4 linked regions of the Neurospora crassa OR74A genome follow. The protein of the gene in region 1 interacts with the protein of each later gene in a pairwise test. Links are inferred from orthologs where the notes say so. Each region holds a gene or a part of one and is shown on either strand. Other genes may lie near its edges.

The links.
Region 2: the proteins of scon-3 (region 1) and NCU03658 interact in binary tests that used the Schizosaccharomyces pombe proteins (3 or more experiments, as listed by UniProt). The link is inferred for Neurospora crassa OR74A from reciprocal best matches to the Schizosaccharomyces pombe genes skp1 and pof6.
Region 3: the proteins of scon-3 (region 1) and NCU02587 interact in binary tests that used the Schizosaccharomyces pombe proteins (3 or more experiments, as listed by UniProt). The link is inferred for Neurospora crassa OR74A from reciprocal best matches to the Schizosaccharomyces pombe genes skp1 and pmh1.
Region 4: the proteins of scon-3 (region 1) and scon-2 interact in a two-hybrid assay, tested with the Schizosaccharomyces pombe proteins (2 studies listed by BioGRID). The link is inferred for Neurospora crassa OR74A from reciprocal best matches to the Schizosaccharomyces pombe genes skp1 and pof1.

Annotation. Positions count from the first base shown.
Region 1 is NC_026503.1:4,148,620-4,152,149, forward strand, and holds scon-3 (sulfur control-3 protein), read right to left. Parts: upstream 2,241-3,530; 5' UTR 2,034-2,240; exon of another isoform or gene 1,878-2,033; 5' UTR 1,869-1,877; coding exon 1,796-1,868; intron 1,715-1,795; coding exon 1,449-1,714; intron 1,351-1,448; coding exon 1,174-1,350; 3' UTR 512-1,173; downstream 1-511. UniProt on the Schizosaccharomyces pombe protein: Required for cig2 degradation in the G2 and M phases of the cell cycle. Together with pof6, essential for septum processing and cell separation.
Region 2 is NC_026505.1:1,994,287-1,998,530, forward strand, and holds the start of NCU03658 (secretion pathway protein Sls2/Rcy1), read left to right. Parts: upstream 1-1,434; 5' UTR 1,435-1,830; coding exon 1,831-1,987; intron 1,988-2,069; coding exon 2,070-4,244. Other genes in the region: gh63-1 (mannosyl-oligosaccharide glucosidase, variant), read left to right, coding at 1-741, 801-1,070. UniProt on the Schizosaccharomyces pombe protein: Together with skp1, essential for septum processing and cell separation.
Region 3 is NC_026501.1:2,825,184-2,828,538, reverse strand, and holds NCU02587 (RNA polymerase II transcription factor B subunit 3), read left to right. Parts: upstream 1-1,234; coding exon 1,235-2,323; 3' UTR 2,324-2,845; downstream 2,846-3,355. Other genes in the region: NCU02588 (nuclear movement protein nudC, variant 1), read right to left, coding at 23-234, 329-341. UniProt on the Schizosaccharomyces pombe protein: Acts as a component of the general transcription and DNA repair factor IIH (TFIIH or factor B), which is essential for both basal and activated transcription, and is involved in nucleotide excision repair (NER) of damaged DNA.
Region 4 is NC_026503.1:4,897,055-4,901,063, reverse strand, and holds the start of scon-2 (sulfur controller-2 protein), read right to left. Parts: upstream 2,811-4,009; 5' UTR 2,290-2,810; intron 2,052-2,289; 5' UTR 1,340-2,051; coding exon 902-1,339; intron 816-901; coding exon 86-815; intron 26-85; coding exon 1-25. UniProt on the Schizosaccharomyces pombe protein: Probably recognizes and binds to some phosphorylated proteins and promotes their ubiquitination and degradation. Required for the inactivation of zip1 via ubiquitination.

The DNA.
Region 1 (3,530 bases):
TCCTTGTTTTGGGGGAACGTAAACTTTCGGAGTACTATGCTTTCACGGCAAACATTTAGAAGGACGGTTACTGGGGGAATTAGGATCTGAAATGAGAGAAAACGTGGTGCACGAGAGTTGATTCCCATATTTGTTCTACCCATGTTCTCGGAACTGTGCTACAAAATCGGTCTATGTACCATGTCGTGTGCGCATTATATCAAGGTCTGTGACACCGAGGGGGCTTGATCAAAAGACGTGGGCAATGTCCAAATCAGCCCGCCTACGTTCCATCAACGACTTCTGTACCCTTGGCTTGTATAAAGCGAGTAAAAATGAGCCATGATATACAACTTGGGTAAGCTCCCTCCTAGTCTCTCTGCAATCTGGACCATTAGTATGTTGTTTGTGTGCATGGGCAACTCCATGCCATCCTTGCGCCTGGCCATGGTTGAGTTCAAAACGCCAAATTGTCAGTGAAAAGGGCGGTTTCTGTACCTACCTGTTTTACCGGGAGCGCTCTAGCATGGAACAATGGAGGGTAGTGTGGATGTTGGCTGACTTTTCTTTCCCCTACTCTAAGGCCCATTTCTTCCTGGTGACTCCGCGCCTTGAACCATGAATAGCTGCCACGAAACAGAGGGTCGTTGTTGCTATCATTAGACTACAGTTCACATGATGGGCGTATTAAGCGAATACGAGGTGCCAATATGTAGAGTATGTTGGTGGTAAAGGGGGCCATCATGGCAACAACACGGAACAGAATCGTGACGACGTTGTCGGCCTTTACGGTGAGGACGTTCTCAGACACGTAAGGACCTGATTCACAAACTGTATCATCATAAGAAAACCCTCGATTCAGCCTAAGAAAACAAGGAGCCGTAGAAAAAAGCTAGAGAACAACGCCTCTAAACGCCTGCCAACGCAAAGGTACGATCGAACGTACTGAGTGGAAGAGCTTCGTTTGTGGCCCTCCCAGGAATGCCCAAACCGTATCACGTCGTCGTCGAAATGCTGTCGATAACACGAGATGTGTTTGATATCCATCTCCCAACATAACAGCTCTCCCCATATCCATCAAACTCGGCTAAAGTGTGCGTTCCGGTAGACGAAGCACAGGGGTAACCTCTGTCGTTGGCAGACGGTGATCCCGGCGTTGCAAAGTGACTTGACGTGGAAACTGGTCTTGATCGGCTAACGGTCTTCCGCCCATTCGTTCTCGCGGCGAATCTGCTCCTCCTCCTCTGGAGTGAAATCATTTGTGATATTGAACGTCTTTCGAATCTCCTCAGGGGACTTGCCCTTGATCATGTTGGCAACGGTCTTGCATCCAACATCAAGGAGGGGCTTGATGTCCATGTAGTTGGCAGCCTGGATGAGGAATATGTTAGCATGATCTGACCCTGCAGAACCCGAGTGATGTTTGCATATCAAGTAGCATCGGCGGGTAGAACGAGGGAGAAACCTACGAGAATGATCTCGAAGAGCATCTCCTGGTCAACCTGCATGAACTTCTGGTCCCATTCGTCGATCTCCGTGCTCTTCTTACGGCTGTCGTTCTCGTCCTCGGTAGTCTGGGGCGGGTCCTTGCGGTGGTGCTCGCACCACTCGACAACCTTTCGGAGGACAGGCTCGTTGACGTTTGGTAGGGGAATAGCCTCGTTCATAACAGCCTCGTCGCCCAAATCCTCAATCAGGTTCTTGATGAGAAGGGATCGCTCGGCAACAACACGATCTGTGTTTGACGCCAGTTAGTCGGCTGCAGTCGCAGGGAAAGAAAAGGAGACAGGCCGGGTGGCGGGGTGATTCTACTCACCGACGGTGATGATTTGGCCATCGTTGCTCTGGAGAGATACCTTCTGGAGGGCACGTTCGTCGTTCTCCGCCATGTTGAATGTCTGTAGTCGTAGTCTTGACGTTAGAAGATACGTCGATGGATGTTGATGGGTTGAGTTGGCTGTCTATGTGATTGATGCTGGTGGTGTAAATGATGCAGAGAGGGGATAGTTCAATTGTGGGGGAAAAAGTGGGAGACGGTGTTGTCATATAGTTACCTGTTTGCGCAAATTCAAGCTCAAATGTAAAAGTGACCTTGCTCTGAGTTGCAGGAGGTTTGGCAATAATGAGAGAAGGAACGCACGCGGTGTGATTAACTGGCTGCAGTGCGTGGTTCTTATGGTTTCCCCGTGAAAGGTTGCCTGTAGTTTGCTTGGGCTAGTGATGAAAGTACAGACGGAGGTCCGCGTGAGTGCCCGTTGGCGGGCGCAGTCGGTCCTTCCAACAAACGAATCGCCTCTGCCTTCATTTTGTGGAGCCCGCTGCACGCAGTCCAATTGCGCGCACGTAAAGTGCGTGCATAGACCACCTAGCAATCCTGGCGCGGCCCCTCAGCTCGTCAGCCTTCTTGGGTTGAAATATAATGGGGTTGGGTGGTCAGTGCCCAGGCCCTGCCTGGAGAGACGGATGGACTTGCTCCAACACGGAAGACGCAGAAACGCTCTGGAGAGAGAACCTGACCGTTCACGTGCCGTTCCATGTACTAACCTTTGGCACCACGCAGCTCCCATCAACGGAACGATGGGACATTTGCACACCAGTGATTAGATGTAGTATTTTGAGTCACGAAGAGACGATGTGGGGACCGTCGTTGGCGTGATCTGGGGACATTCGAAGCTACAGATGTCTTCATGCTTGCAATATACACAAAGCATTGCATTGGATAGTAAAAATAATCAAAGACCGGCACATTCCACGTACACACGAATTAGGTTCATTGACAGCTGACTACATGCGGTTTCCCACACGGGGACTATGCGTTTTTCCAGATGCTTTATATTCACTATGTATGTTCCGGCTTAGGATGATACGCCCGCACGCCCGGTAGATTTTACCCACGCTTGTAAGTTGGATGTCGGGATGTCAATAGCTTCAGTTGGAAAAGCTCCTAGATGAAGTATATACATGATGGACAACTACATAATGGTACCCAAAATTGTCCTCTGCTACTCTGGCTTTTGTTGCTATCTTGCATCATTGATACGGATTGTCAAGTAAAGGAATGCAGCTTGAATGTGACAAAAGCTGCGGTACCTCCCGTCCAACGAGCACAGAAAATCAAACTTCCGTGGGAGGAAGGACAAGGGGTCAACATGAGGGCCTATCAATATTCAAGGCCGCTTTGCTGGAGATTTATTTCACACTAACAGACCAGGACATCTTTTGCTTACCATCTGTCCGTATCGCAGTATGATGTACATTCAGATCACGAAGGCGAAATGTCAAGATTCCAAAGCTGTGTCCCGGCGCGAATATAGGTACAAATAAAGCTGTACATACATACTATGTAACTCGTCATTCATCCATGGTCCGGCTCGCGCAGATCGACCAGTTGCTGCACCCGTGCGGGAGGAAATTACCAAAGTACCTAGACTCGCGCCAACGACGCCAACGAGCCTGCCGACTGGCCCGAATGCGGAGGCGGGCTATAGACAGACTACCCCTTCTCCCTATATCTAGACTACTTAACCACTTAGGGCATGGTTCTAAGGCAT
Region 2 (4,244 bases), on another chromosome or scaffold:
GTCAACAGGCTGCGCAACGCTAATGGCACCATGCCTGCTGTTAAAGAACACCTCTCCCAAGGCGTCTCTCTTTCCAGTGCGTCTATCGACAACGTTGAGGTAGGACTCGAGTATCTCCGCCGCCTCTACCCGCTTCTTCGCCGCCAGTTCTACTGGTTCAAGAAGACACAGTACGGTGACATCAAGTCCTACGATCGCGACGCCTATTCCTCCCGTGAGGCTTATAGGTGGCGCGGCCGCACCCTCACGCACTGCTTGACTAGTGGCTTGGACGACTACCCTCGCCCTCAGCCACCTCACCCTGGTGAGCTCCATGTCGACCTCATGTCGTGGGTTGGCCTAATGGCTAAGTCGCTGGCCAACGCCGCCGAAGTCATTGCGCCCGAGGAGGTTGAGGATTACACAAAGGTTCTCGACGGAATCGAGCACAATCTTGATGACCTGCACTGGTCTGAGAAGGACGGCTGCTACTGCGATGCCACCATTGATGAGTTTGAGGAGCACCAACTCGTGTGCCACAAGGGATACATCTCCCTCTCCCCATTCCTGACTGGCCTGTTGAAGCCCGATAGCCCTAAGCTCGGCAAGATTCTGGCCCTTATTGGTGATGAGGAGGAGCTATGGAGCCCTTATGGCATCCGCAGCTTGAGCAAGAAGGATGAGAACTACGGCACTGCCGAGAATTACTGGAGAAGTCCCATCTGGATCAACATCAACTACCTTATCATTACCCAGCTTCACGTAAGTTGACTGTTCCTTAACCATAAATTGAGCTAAAGCGGCATGCTGACACCCACTAGAACCTTGCAACCCAAGAAGGGCCCTACCAAGAGACGGCCCGCGACATGTATCAAAGACTGCGCAAGAACGTTGTCGAAACCATCTACAACAGCTGGGAGGAAACGGGCTTTGCGTGGGAACAGTACAACCCGGAAACGGGCAAGGGTCAGCGTACACAGCACTTCACCGGCTGGACCAGCTTGGTGGTCAAGATCCTAGCCATGGAGGACCTGCCCGAGGCTGCCCCAGTGGCCCCGGTTGAATCACAGTACGTCAAGGACGAGCTATGATGAAATTGAGCTGTCGTCTAATCAGGCTACATCGCTAGAAACGACATACCGAAGTTGTAAATAGAGGCGATGACAAGGTCTGACATGACTTTAAGAAATATCACTGTATCGATGGACATGACCGCTTAACTACGTGCCATTGTCGGTTGTTCTTTGTTTGGATATTGTCTTGTTCAGACTTGTGCGTGTGTAGGTAGTCAGGGGGTGGCGCAGTTTGGTGTTTGCCACATACAACCCTAACCCGGGACCCTTACTCTGCTGTAAAAGGGTGCTATATTTGGCCCAATGTAGCTCTTTGCTCCGGAGCCCCGCGAGGCAACCCCTGACTCTGAAGTTACAGTTACGTGATAAGCCCAGGTGCGGGCATCAACATGGGACCACGGCCTTTCGTCGTATCGATCCAACCTGCCCTGGACTGCTGCTTTCCATTCCGCCTTTCTGTTGACAACTACGGAGCTGGCATGCTGTTCAATGCTGTCCAATCGACCGATCACGAATCCTCGTATCGGTAGTATTGCATCTCACGACGGCGGGGCGGCCTACAACGAGGGCAACGATTTTTCCAACATCTTTCTGCCCGGCAGCAGCATGAATCTACGATACGTCCCGCCTTGAACTACCTCTACTACCTACATACACCATCCGTTCACGACACCACCGCCTCGAACATCAGCAACAGCAATACCAACATCGGACTACAGTTAGCTAGCTACTACAATACAACAACGATATTCACGGACCGAGACACCATCACAACACCATGTCCAACTTCAAAAGGGCCTCCATGGCTGGTGCCGGGCCAAAGTCCACATCTTCGTCAGCGATGATGGCAGGAGGCGGCCACAGCAAGAACGGCAGCATCTTGAACGCCCTCCGAGCGACCACAATGATTGATACCAAGCCAGTATTACCAGCCGGTATGCCACCTATCCTCTGCTACCCCCAAAGCACTCTTTTTTTTTTTCCAATACCAGCTAACAAATACGTCGATACTCGTAGAAATCCTCGTCACGATCCTCGATTACCTCCCCGTCTCCGACCTCCTCCGCTTCGCCCGCACCTCCCGCCGCATGCGCGAGATGGTCTACGACGACACCCGCTGGGTTGCCCGCCTGCGCTCTATGGGGGTGTGGGACGAAGCGGAAGCGCGGCGGCGGTTCGAGGAAGTAATGAAGCGACGGCGCGAAGCCGCCGAACGGGCGGAGCGGGAACGACTCGCTGCCGCTGCTGCAGCAACGGGCACAACAGGAGGATCAATGCCAATAGGGAGAGGACAGCCGTTTCCTGGACAATCACTGGAGCTGTTTCCTGGATTGCAACAACAGTACCCAACGCCGCCGCCGGTGATAACGACGACCCTGTTCGATGCAGGCGAGGAGGAGCTGAGGAGGAAGAGGATCGCGGAAGAGCAGAAAAAAAGGGAGGAGGCGATTCAGGCGGCGGCGCAGAGAAGGGCGATGGAGGAGATGGAAGGGTTGCAGGATGGGTTTGAGACGATGAAAGTGGGCGGAGGACAAGGGGGACTGCTACCGACGGCGCCGCAAAAAGACCCCTTTTCGGACCCCGAAGCGTTATTGAACGTGATCAAAAACGCCCGTTCCATCCGCGGCCACGCCCGACAAGAGTATGGCAAGATTTACGGCGCGCTAGCACCGTTCTACTTTGACCTGGCCAAAGCGAAATCGCACACCGACCCGGTCGTCTTTCGCGTGTTTCGGGATCCGGAGCGGCAAGCACAGATGTTGGCCAACCTGCGGACGTTTGCCAAGTCCGACTGGGCCGCTGGCTGGCGGCAGCGCGAGGAGAAGCTGGCGACCATGGCGGGCATCTTCGAGAGCGCGGTGCTGCACGAGTTTGAGACGGGTTACGAGTTTTGGGACGTCGATGGGAGGATGCACAAGTATGCGCACGTATTGGATCTGCTGAACGGCGGGACGGCGGCGGTGGAGCTGTTTATCCATAAACATCCGATCTTCACGGATAAGGAGGTATTGGCGAACCCAATGGATTGCGTCAATCAGGCGCTGGCAGACGATGTTACGCTAGAGCCGTCGAGGCGGTTCTTTGAGGTGTTGACGGCCAAGGTCAATGAGCAGGCGGATATCATCCAGCGAGTGTTTCCGAAGCCGGCCGAGGTGTTTTGGTTATTGATGGGGAAAATCAGGGATGATATCTTGACGGATTACGTGACGCCGTTGTTTGACGAGACGCACGAGAGGAGCCTGGCGGCGTATGTGAAGGCCGTTTCTGGTCTGTTTGAGCAGACGTTGCAGTTCTTTAGGACGGTAAATGCACCGAAGAACGAGAAGAACGCGAAGGAGCAGGAGGAGCTGGCAAAGGAATATGCGCTCAAAGTGTTTGAGCAGCATTTAGATCTTTATCTGGCGGATGAGTTGGATTACTTTACCCAGCAGGCGGAGGCGGAGGTGGGAGAGTGGGAGAAGAAGCTGTCGGAGCAGGATGCTACTGCGGAATCGTTCTACATGGGCAGCTTCACCAACAGGCAGGCGGATAAGAAGGACTTCTTGACGTCGTTCAAAAAAGTGGTCATGATGCCCGTGTCGGCTCTGCCAAGTTTGCCGTTAGGGTCGCCGTTTGCTTCAAAGCCTGCCACAACCCCTACGACAGCCACGACAGCAGCAGCGAACGGCGGCGAGCTACAAGCGCCGGAAAACCCTGAGCAGTCTCATCCAGTCTCTCCTAGTCTGGCGGCGCCAGTAACTGTTGATCGTACAGGAAGTCCCTTGCCGGACAAGGCCCCCACGGATGAACTAGCAGCAAAGGCTGCGCTAATGACGTCCAGACTAGAGGGAATCAAGTCCCTCTTCAGCATCGAAATTGCCCTCAGTCTCGTCCACATGGCCAAATCCAGTCTCGGCCGCGCCGCTGTCTTCATTCAACTCGGCGGACAAGCTGGCGGCGAAGCTCGCGAGCAATGCGAGGCCATATTCGTCGCTTTGCTCCGCATTCTCGGCAGCCGTCACATTAAGCCCGGTTTCGACAAGGCAGTCGCCCATCTTTCGCAATACAATCCGCGCGAGGTCTCCCATCATGACAAGGGCGGGGTGGCGCCTCTGGTGACCTTCATCGAACTCGTCAACGTCGGAGACCTGATCTCGCAGATGATCGACGTCTTCTACGAGCAACAGCTCACCACACCCAAGATCGCGGACC
Region 3 (3,355 bases), on another chromosome or scaffold:
TGTGGGCAAGTAGGTTGGTTACCTTGATGACGGGCTCTTGACCCTTAATACCAGCCGTAAGAGACTGCTTCTTTATCTCAACCACCATATCTTTGCCCTTTAGGTTACCAGGGACGAGGATGGTGATGTCGACGTCGCCAATCGTCTGAGTCCACTTGTAGGGGAGAGCCTCCTGCTCGGCTTGTTCCTTGGCGCGGGCAGCGGCCTCCTCGGCGGGGGTGAGCTCTGTTACGTCTGACATTGTTTGGTCAGTTGACTAGTGGGACCTGTTGATGGCGGATGGACTTTCTGGTCTTGGGAGCAAGAGGAGTTGAGCTCTAAAACGCACCTTTGTCAGCCATGTTGAAGGTGGTATTGTTGAATTCGGTGTAGATATTGGGCAACGACGGCAGCTTGGTGCAGTGGTGCAGTGGTGCAATGTGCGGTAATGTAAGTAGAAGACGATGGAACGCGCCTGAACGCGATGACCGAATTTCTGGAGGGGCAGGTAACCCGCATGGAACGGCTGCGGCCGCCCAATCCCAATCCTAGGAGCTGCCCGCGAGCGGCTGCTGTCACTGCCCTGGTAGCCCCTGCTCACCCCACGCTTGCCCGCGTCCAGTCCCCTGAGACAGAGCTGCCAGATGAGCGCGGCAGAGTGCCGTGCTGTGAATGATCTGGGAAGCCCCACCCTGCACCGCCAGGGTAGCGTCCATTGGAGCGCTGGCGCGGTTGGGGGCCAAGTGGAAACAAGGATTATTCAGCCCAAGCATAATAACTCTTATCAGTCCCTCTTTCACCACATCGTCAATCTCACTCGGGTTTCACCCAGACTTCCACTTGGTTGATTTTCATCACCTTCCCTATCCACCGTTGATACATGACTGCGTGACCCGGAATTTCTGCCTAGCCGAGCTGGCATTTTAGAACAACATTTCATCACCTAACAAGACGAGTACAAGTCCTCGTCGCCAAATCACGATCACCAAACAGATATAAAAGAAGATTTGGGCCGCGATCGCCACTCACTCACCGACACATCAAGAGACGTCCCGAGTTCTCAGATACGGACTACTGTCCCTTCGAAGGGAAACGCCCACTCCTCGCTATAATTCAGCATACATTTCTCTTGGCCATCATTTAACCTTTGGAAATCCCACTTCAGCACATCGATCCCCGTCTCCTCGAAGCGAAATTATCAAAACAACCCCCCCCCCCCCCCCCCCCCCCCCAAAAAAAAAAGAAACCACCCACCATGGCGCGCCCTCTCGACCCCCTCGGCTTCGAAGACGAAATGTGCCCCGTCTGCAAATCGCGCAAGTACCTCAACCCCGACATCGTCTTCGTCTTCAACCCCGAATGCTACCACTCCATGTGTCTCAACTGTGCCAACCGACTCTTCAACGACGGACCCAATCAATGTCCGCACGCCGGCTGCAACAAAACGCTCCGTCGCAAGGGCTTCCGCTCGGCTTTTTTCGGCGACTTGGCCGTCGAGCGCGAGGTCGACATCCGCCGTCGCGTGGCGGCGGTGTTCAACCAAGTCGAGGACGACTTTGAGACGCTCCAGGATTATAATAATTACTTGCAGATGGTGGAAGATTTGACGTTTGAACTTGTCAATGGGACGGATGAGAGGAGACGGCAGGCGGAGGCGCAATTGCAGGCATGGGAGGCGGAGCATAGGGCGGATATTGAACGGAATAAGAAGGCGGGGAGGGAGGCGGATGAGATTTCAAGAGTGAGGCTGGCAGCCGAAAGGGATGCTGTCAGGCAGAGGAGGATTGAGGCTATCAAGGAGGCGGAGGCGGAGAAAAGAGAGAGGGTGAGGAGTCGCGAAATGGAGCTGGATAACCTGGCCAAGGGAACCACTGCTATGACAGCGGAGCCGGCGACGAAGGTACAGCTAAAGAGGCGTGGGCAGGTGAATCGGGTTGCTGAAACAGCTTCCAACCCTGCCATCGCAACAACGGGAATGGGCACGGGCGCGTCGGAGGTTGAGCGTTTGTCCATCCGCGGCTTGAAGGAGAAGCCGAAGGCGCCGGCGCCACAGGGCCCGTACGACCCCTTTGGAGGCATGGACTTCGCGCCTAGTCGGTACAAGCTACATGGAGGCTTGAGTCACCCGCTTATGGAGAAGTACCGGTTGGACAGACAGCACGTTGCTGGTGGGTACAGCTTTGACGACTTTGCGGCGCGCGCCTTGTATGAAGCGTTTGCTGGGTTGGGTGTGTTTGTTGAGGATGAGAAGGAGGTCGGCAGTGGTATTGGGCTGTCACAAGAGACGAGCATGGCGGCGGGGATCGCCGCTGTGGTTGACGCGGATAAGATGGATTTGGACTGAGAGTGGTTCTGGACCGGTATGCCCCGGCCTTTTGGTTGGCGGTAATGGTGTTTTTGTTGCATAGCGACGGCGTTCACTCAGCGATTGAATATTTTTCTTTTTCCTCTCCGACGGATCTGGATTTAGGAACACACATGAGGCGGGACCAGCATCATATAGATCAACTTCAGACTCGGTGGTTTTAGAGGGCGCAAATATTCGGGTCTGCTGTGGATTTCTGGGTTCGAAATTCATTATGCGAATGGTCGCAGTCCAGCAGCCACATAAGACAGAACTTGGCGAACTGCAGTACATTCACTACTCTTTGCCACCCATCAAGCCATCTGTCTACTTGTAAGGAGTATCAAGGTCACTGAAGACCACGTTTTGTGTGAGGGATTGGGACGACGATGATGATGGAGAAAAGAAGAAGAAAAAGAAATTCAGACTAATAAGAGTGCGTCGATTGATCACAAAAATGCCCAAAAAAATATATAGATTAAGATTTACCAAACAAAAAGAGCCTCCAGGCTTCCCTACTGCAAAAATGTGTATGCCTCCCTTGCTGGCCATTCCTGGAGAGAGTGTTGGCAGCCAATCCTGAAAGTTTTGATGGTATGACCATTTATCATACCATACCTCTTTCACTCCTTTATCTCGAGATGCCCGGACCCCATTCCACCGTTTTTATGTAGCGTTCCATTCCAACTATTCTTCCCCCCTCCCCCTTGCGCTGCGCTGCTAAGCCTTGTATCTGGCCCTGCTCGTTAAGAAGCACTCGACGGCGGAAAAAAAAGCCTGATCTCTTCACAGTCAATCCTTGACTGCCTTATTGCCACCCATTTCGAAGGTACGAGCATCAAACCGCCCTGCTTACCCGAACATTGGCTGTCCTTTCGGTAGACTAAGGAGGGGCACCGTCAGAAGACTCGCGGCAACAATACCGAAAGATCAGGATTGCCGAATCGAATAACGAAGGCGGGTGAGAAAAAAGAGCTGAGCTCAAAAAATACAAAATAAAAGAAAATAAAACAAAAAGCAAAAGGAACGCCG
Region 4 (4,009 bases), about 750 kb from region 1:
ATGCACTCCTCAGTCTCAATGTTCCCTGTCAGCAATGTGTTAGTTTAAAGCGAGCACCAATGTTTAAAGAAGCAAGACCACATACAGATCTTGATAGTGGTGTCGTACGATCCAGTCGCAAGGATGTTATCATCGAGCTGGAGACATGTGACACCATTCTCATGACCCTTGAGAACCGACAACTTGTATCGGCTGTTTTTCCAGTTGTAGCTGACCTGCCAGCGATCCCGGTAGACGGCCTTCCAGCTTCGGGTCTTGGGTTGCGTTACCGCCTTGGAGGCTTCTGCTGCAGCCATACACTGGCGCTTCTTGATGGGGTCCTCTTCCTCCGCCTCTGCTGCCGGGCGCTTTCCATGTTGATTGACGGATCGATCCTGGCTGTCGTGGGAGTCGGCCAGTTCTGTGACCCTCCCTTGTGGCCCACCCTTGGCCAGCTGTCTTTGTCTGGTGTAGTTGCGCAGCTTCTTGCGTTCCAGCAAGGGCAATCCCCATCCACACTTTGTGCACTTCCTGTTGACGTGTTGCTCGCACATGCGGACCCAGACGGCATCCGAGTCGGCCAGGGTTCGCCACCTCTGGCTGACCTGGGCGGCCTTGGTCAAGCTGACGGTGTCGAGATAGCATAAGACCTTTTGGGCGAGCTCGACGGGGAGGGCGGAGATGAAGTCGATCTTGAGGGCTTCGTTGACTTCTCTCGAGACGAAGGAGAGCTGGGGGAAGCAGAGCTGGGAGAGGATACCCTGAAGCATCAGGTCGCGATGTCGGGCAGGGGCGGCCGAGAACAGGGACCACACGTGGGTCACAGCTTGCTGATCCTATTATTTCAAGCAAGGTACCAGTCAGTCCACCAAACCTTGGAGACAAGAAGCAATCAATGTTTATGTTTTGTATGAAGACCCACCGCTGATGTGAGCTTGTCTAGCTCGCTCTGAATCATGACCATCTTGGCCTTGTCGGCAGCCCTTCGGCACTTTGAGTCGGGGTGGTGTCTATAGCAGTACTTGGAATTGGGGTTCTCTGCTCTGGCCGTCTCTTGGTTCCCCGGCTTGCCGATGGGGGCGTAGATGCTGGGAATGTGTTCCCGAAGGAAAGGCGTGACAGTCTTGCTCATGAGGACGGACGACATGTTGGTGACGCTGTTGCGGGAGCGCAACCTTGCCTGTTGCTCGGGTCGTTTGCGGTCGCAGTTTTGGTCGGTGGGATCGGAGTCGGTGTCGCGCGAGTGGTTGTTATGGTGATGAGAGTAGGAGTTCACTAGAGGCCCATGTTGGAGCGGGGCGTCATTATCATGTCCGAAGCTCGCAGTCGGACGAGACGGGGCGAGGTGGTAGGAATCCATTGGGAGAAGGGGGAGTCGAGGACCGCCGGGCCCAGAATGACGCTGCGATTGTGCGTTCTGAGGGGGAATTTAGAGTGCGTTTGCGGTTGCGTGGTTCTGTTGTTGAATGGCGGAAGAGGCAACACCAAGCATTGGTCGGCTAGAGGGCGATGGATGGCGTGCTGACCAGGGGACGCAGATTGCTGCTGTATGTATCGCAGTGCTGTCCTGTACACTACTGTCCTGCCTGTCCAGTCCTGTCCAGTCCAAGGTATGTACTAGTAGTAGGTACTCCCGTCGGTCAGGCTGGGGCGGGAAAGGGTATGTGGTCTTGCGTGATCGGGCTGGTTGATGTGAGGTGTATGGATGGATGCCCTGGTGTGGTCGATGTTTGGGCGGTCTACCGTCTCAAAGGTCCAATCTCGTTAATGCGGAATCCAGACTCGCTCCACCGTTGGGCAGGTCTAGATGAAGCTGGAGGAGGAGCAGAAGGAAGGCAGGGTCCCGCAGACAACAAACAGCAGCGATGTGATGCCGGGCAGCCCAACTGGCGATCTTGATGTTTCTGGATGGATGGACACGTGATGGGATCTGGATGTTGTTGGCGGAGGATTGGAGATGGAGCCCCGGGGAGGGAGGAGGACTGGAGGCGATCAGGAAGAGCTCAGCTGAGATGAAAGAGGGACCGTTGAAGGATTGATTCCCTGCCGTGGAGGTGGGCACGTTGTTGGACCTGTTGTTATTGGTGCGGTGTAAGTGTTAGTGCACTCTTATCTGGTGCAGCGCAGTATAGCTGCAGTTTGGAGGGCAATCACGTTAAGGAGGAATCGATGTCTGTTGGAGGATGACCTAGGACGGGAGCAGCGAGGATGTGGACGGGACAAGGTGGCACCTCACGCAATGCACAGCACCTTGGTCGCCATCGATCCGAGTCAAAGTGTTTAAAGGGTCTTTTTTGGTGGTTTACGTACTGTGATGATGATGACCGCTGCTGACCTATTTCCAGGTTCACTTGTTCCACTTCTGTTGTCCAAGTGGAATGTCTCAAACTTCTAGTCTCTCCGGCTTTCGGTGCCTTGCTGTCTCTTCCTTTCAGTCTGGGCAGCTAGTAGGTATGTGACTGCTCTCTTGCTCTTTGAAGGAAGCTACTGTAGGTGTCGGGTACGAGTGCCCGTGCTCCCTCTTTGTACAGTAGCGTAGAGGTAGGTATGTAACCGAATACCAGGTAAGTGACAGCTCTGGAACGGCTGTCGCCTGTCGGTGACGGATGGAATGGATGAGGTATACTACCTTAGAGAGAGCACTCTTTCCAAAATGGCAAAGTGGAAGTCTCGGGCAGTATCGCAACGGGGTGTTGAACCTCAGCTGTTGCTTCACACCGCCTGAAATCGGATGTGTCTTGACTTCGTTGCTCCTTCTCTCTGTGTGTGTGTGACTGTGAAATGTTGCAGACGGAAAGAGACAAGATTGGCCGTCGCTCTTGATCGCAAAGAGAAGGGCAAAATGGCGAAATCAACTGGGGTGGGGCGCGGGAAGCTCCCAGGTACAGAGTGGAGTCACCCATCCTCGTTTTTTTCGCTTTGTTGCTTTGTCGCCAGAATTGCGACATCACCGGGCCCACTGTAAAATGCGGGGATGTACTGGCTGTTATACTCTATGCAAAGCAGTACAGCAAGTATCTAACAGTCAAGACTCCGTAGCTCAATTCAATGATGCCAGTGCCAGTCACGTGCCATAGCCAGGTCCCTAATTGGAGGTTCAGCATCAACACCACGACACATGTCTCACGATTATTAAAACAAAATAAGCAGACTGTTGTTTCGCCACCAAGTGCATGGATTTCTAATATGGCGACTTTGAATTTTATCAACTTTCTCTCTTTTCCTCTGTCAACCTGACCACAGCATGCCTCCCGTCGTCGTCTTGAATCACTCGACCGTCTCAGCTTGACTGACCTTGGAGCGGCTTCATGTCGTCGACAGGAAGGACTCCGAAGACGGACATCAACGTCACTGCGGCCACAGTCCCCAGAGACCACACAATCCCAATCGCACTGTTGACGACAGCTTGATGTGGAGCGTCGTCTCCATTTAACCCAACTTGAATGGACGCTATCTACATATCCCGTCCTTCCCGTCTCCCCCGTGCATGTCAACATCCCATCCAGGCACCATGTCGTGATATCCACCCGATAAACATCGTGAGACAGTCCGGGCCGTGGTCAGCGGCACGGACATTTCCATTCTGGCTTCAATCTCGACCTCGGTGTTCTCGGAATAGCATCTTCTGCCTCTTTCCATCATGTTGACCCACGACAAGGTTGCTTTCCTGGGGAATTTTGCGGGGTGACCAAGTCTGGCTTCCGTTTTCATCATGATGGAAGCTTTCCAGACATTCGAGGGGTTTTAAAAGGCCTAAGCCCATGTCGGCTTGTGGATGTCGAAACAGGCTGACGGAGCTCCAGGGATAATATCTAGCCATGCCTGATAAGCACTGTAAGTTCAGACCTTGTATCAATGTACTCTAAATCTCTCCCTCCGTGATGCAAACAATTCTGGTGCTGTGTTTTCTCGTCGCAATGTCTCGATAAACGCACGTCGAGCTACACCAAAGACATCATTCTATATCAGCTACACACCACGCTTGTCTTGGATATGATGGCACACGTTTTGGGACAAGATACCTTGACCA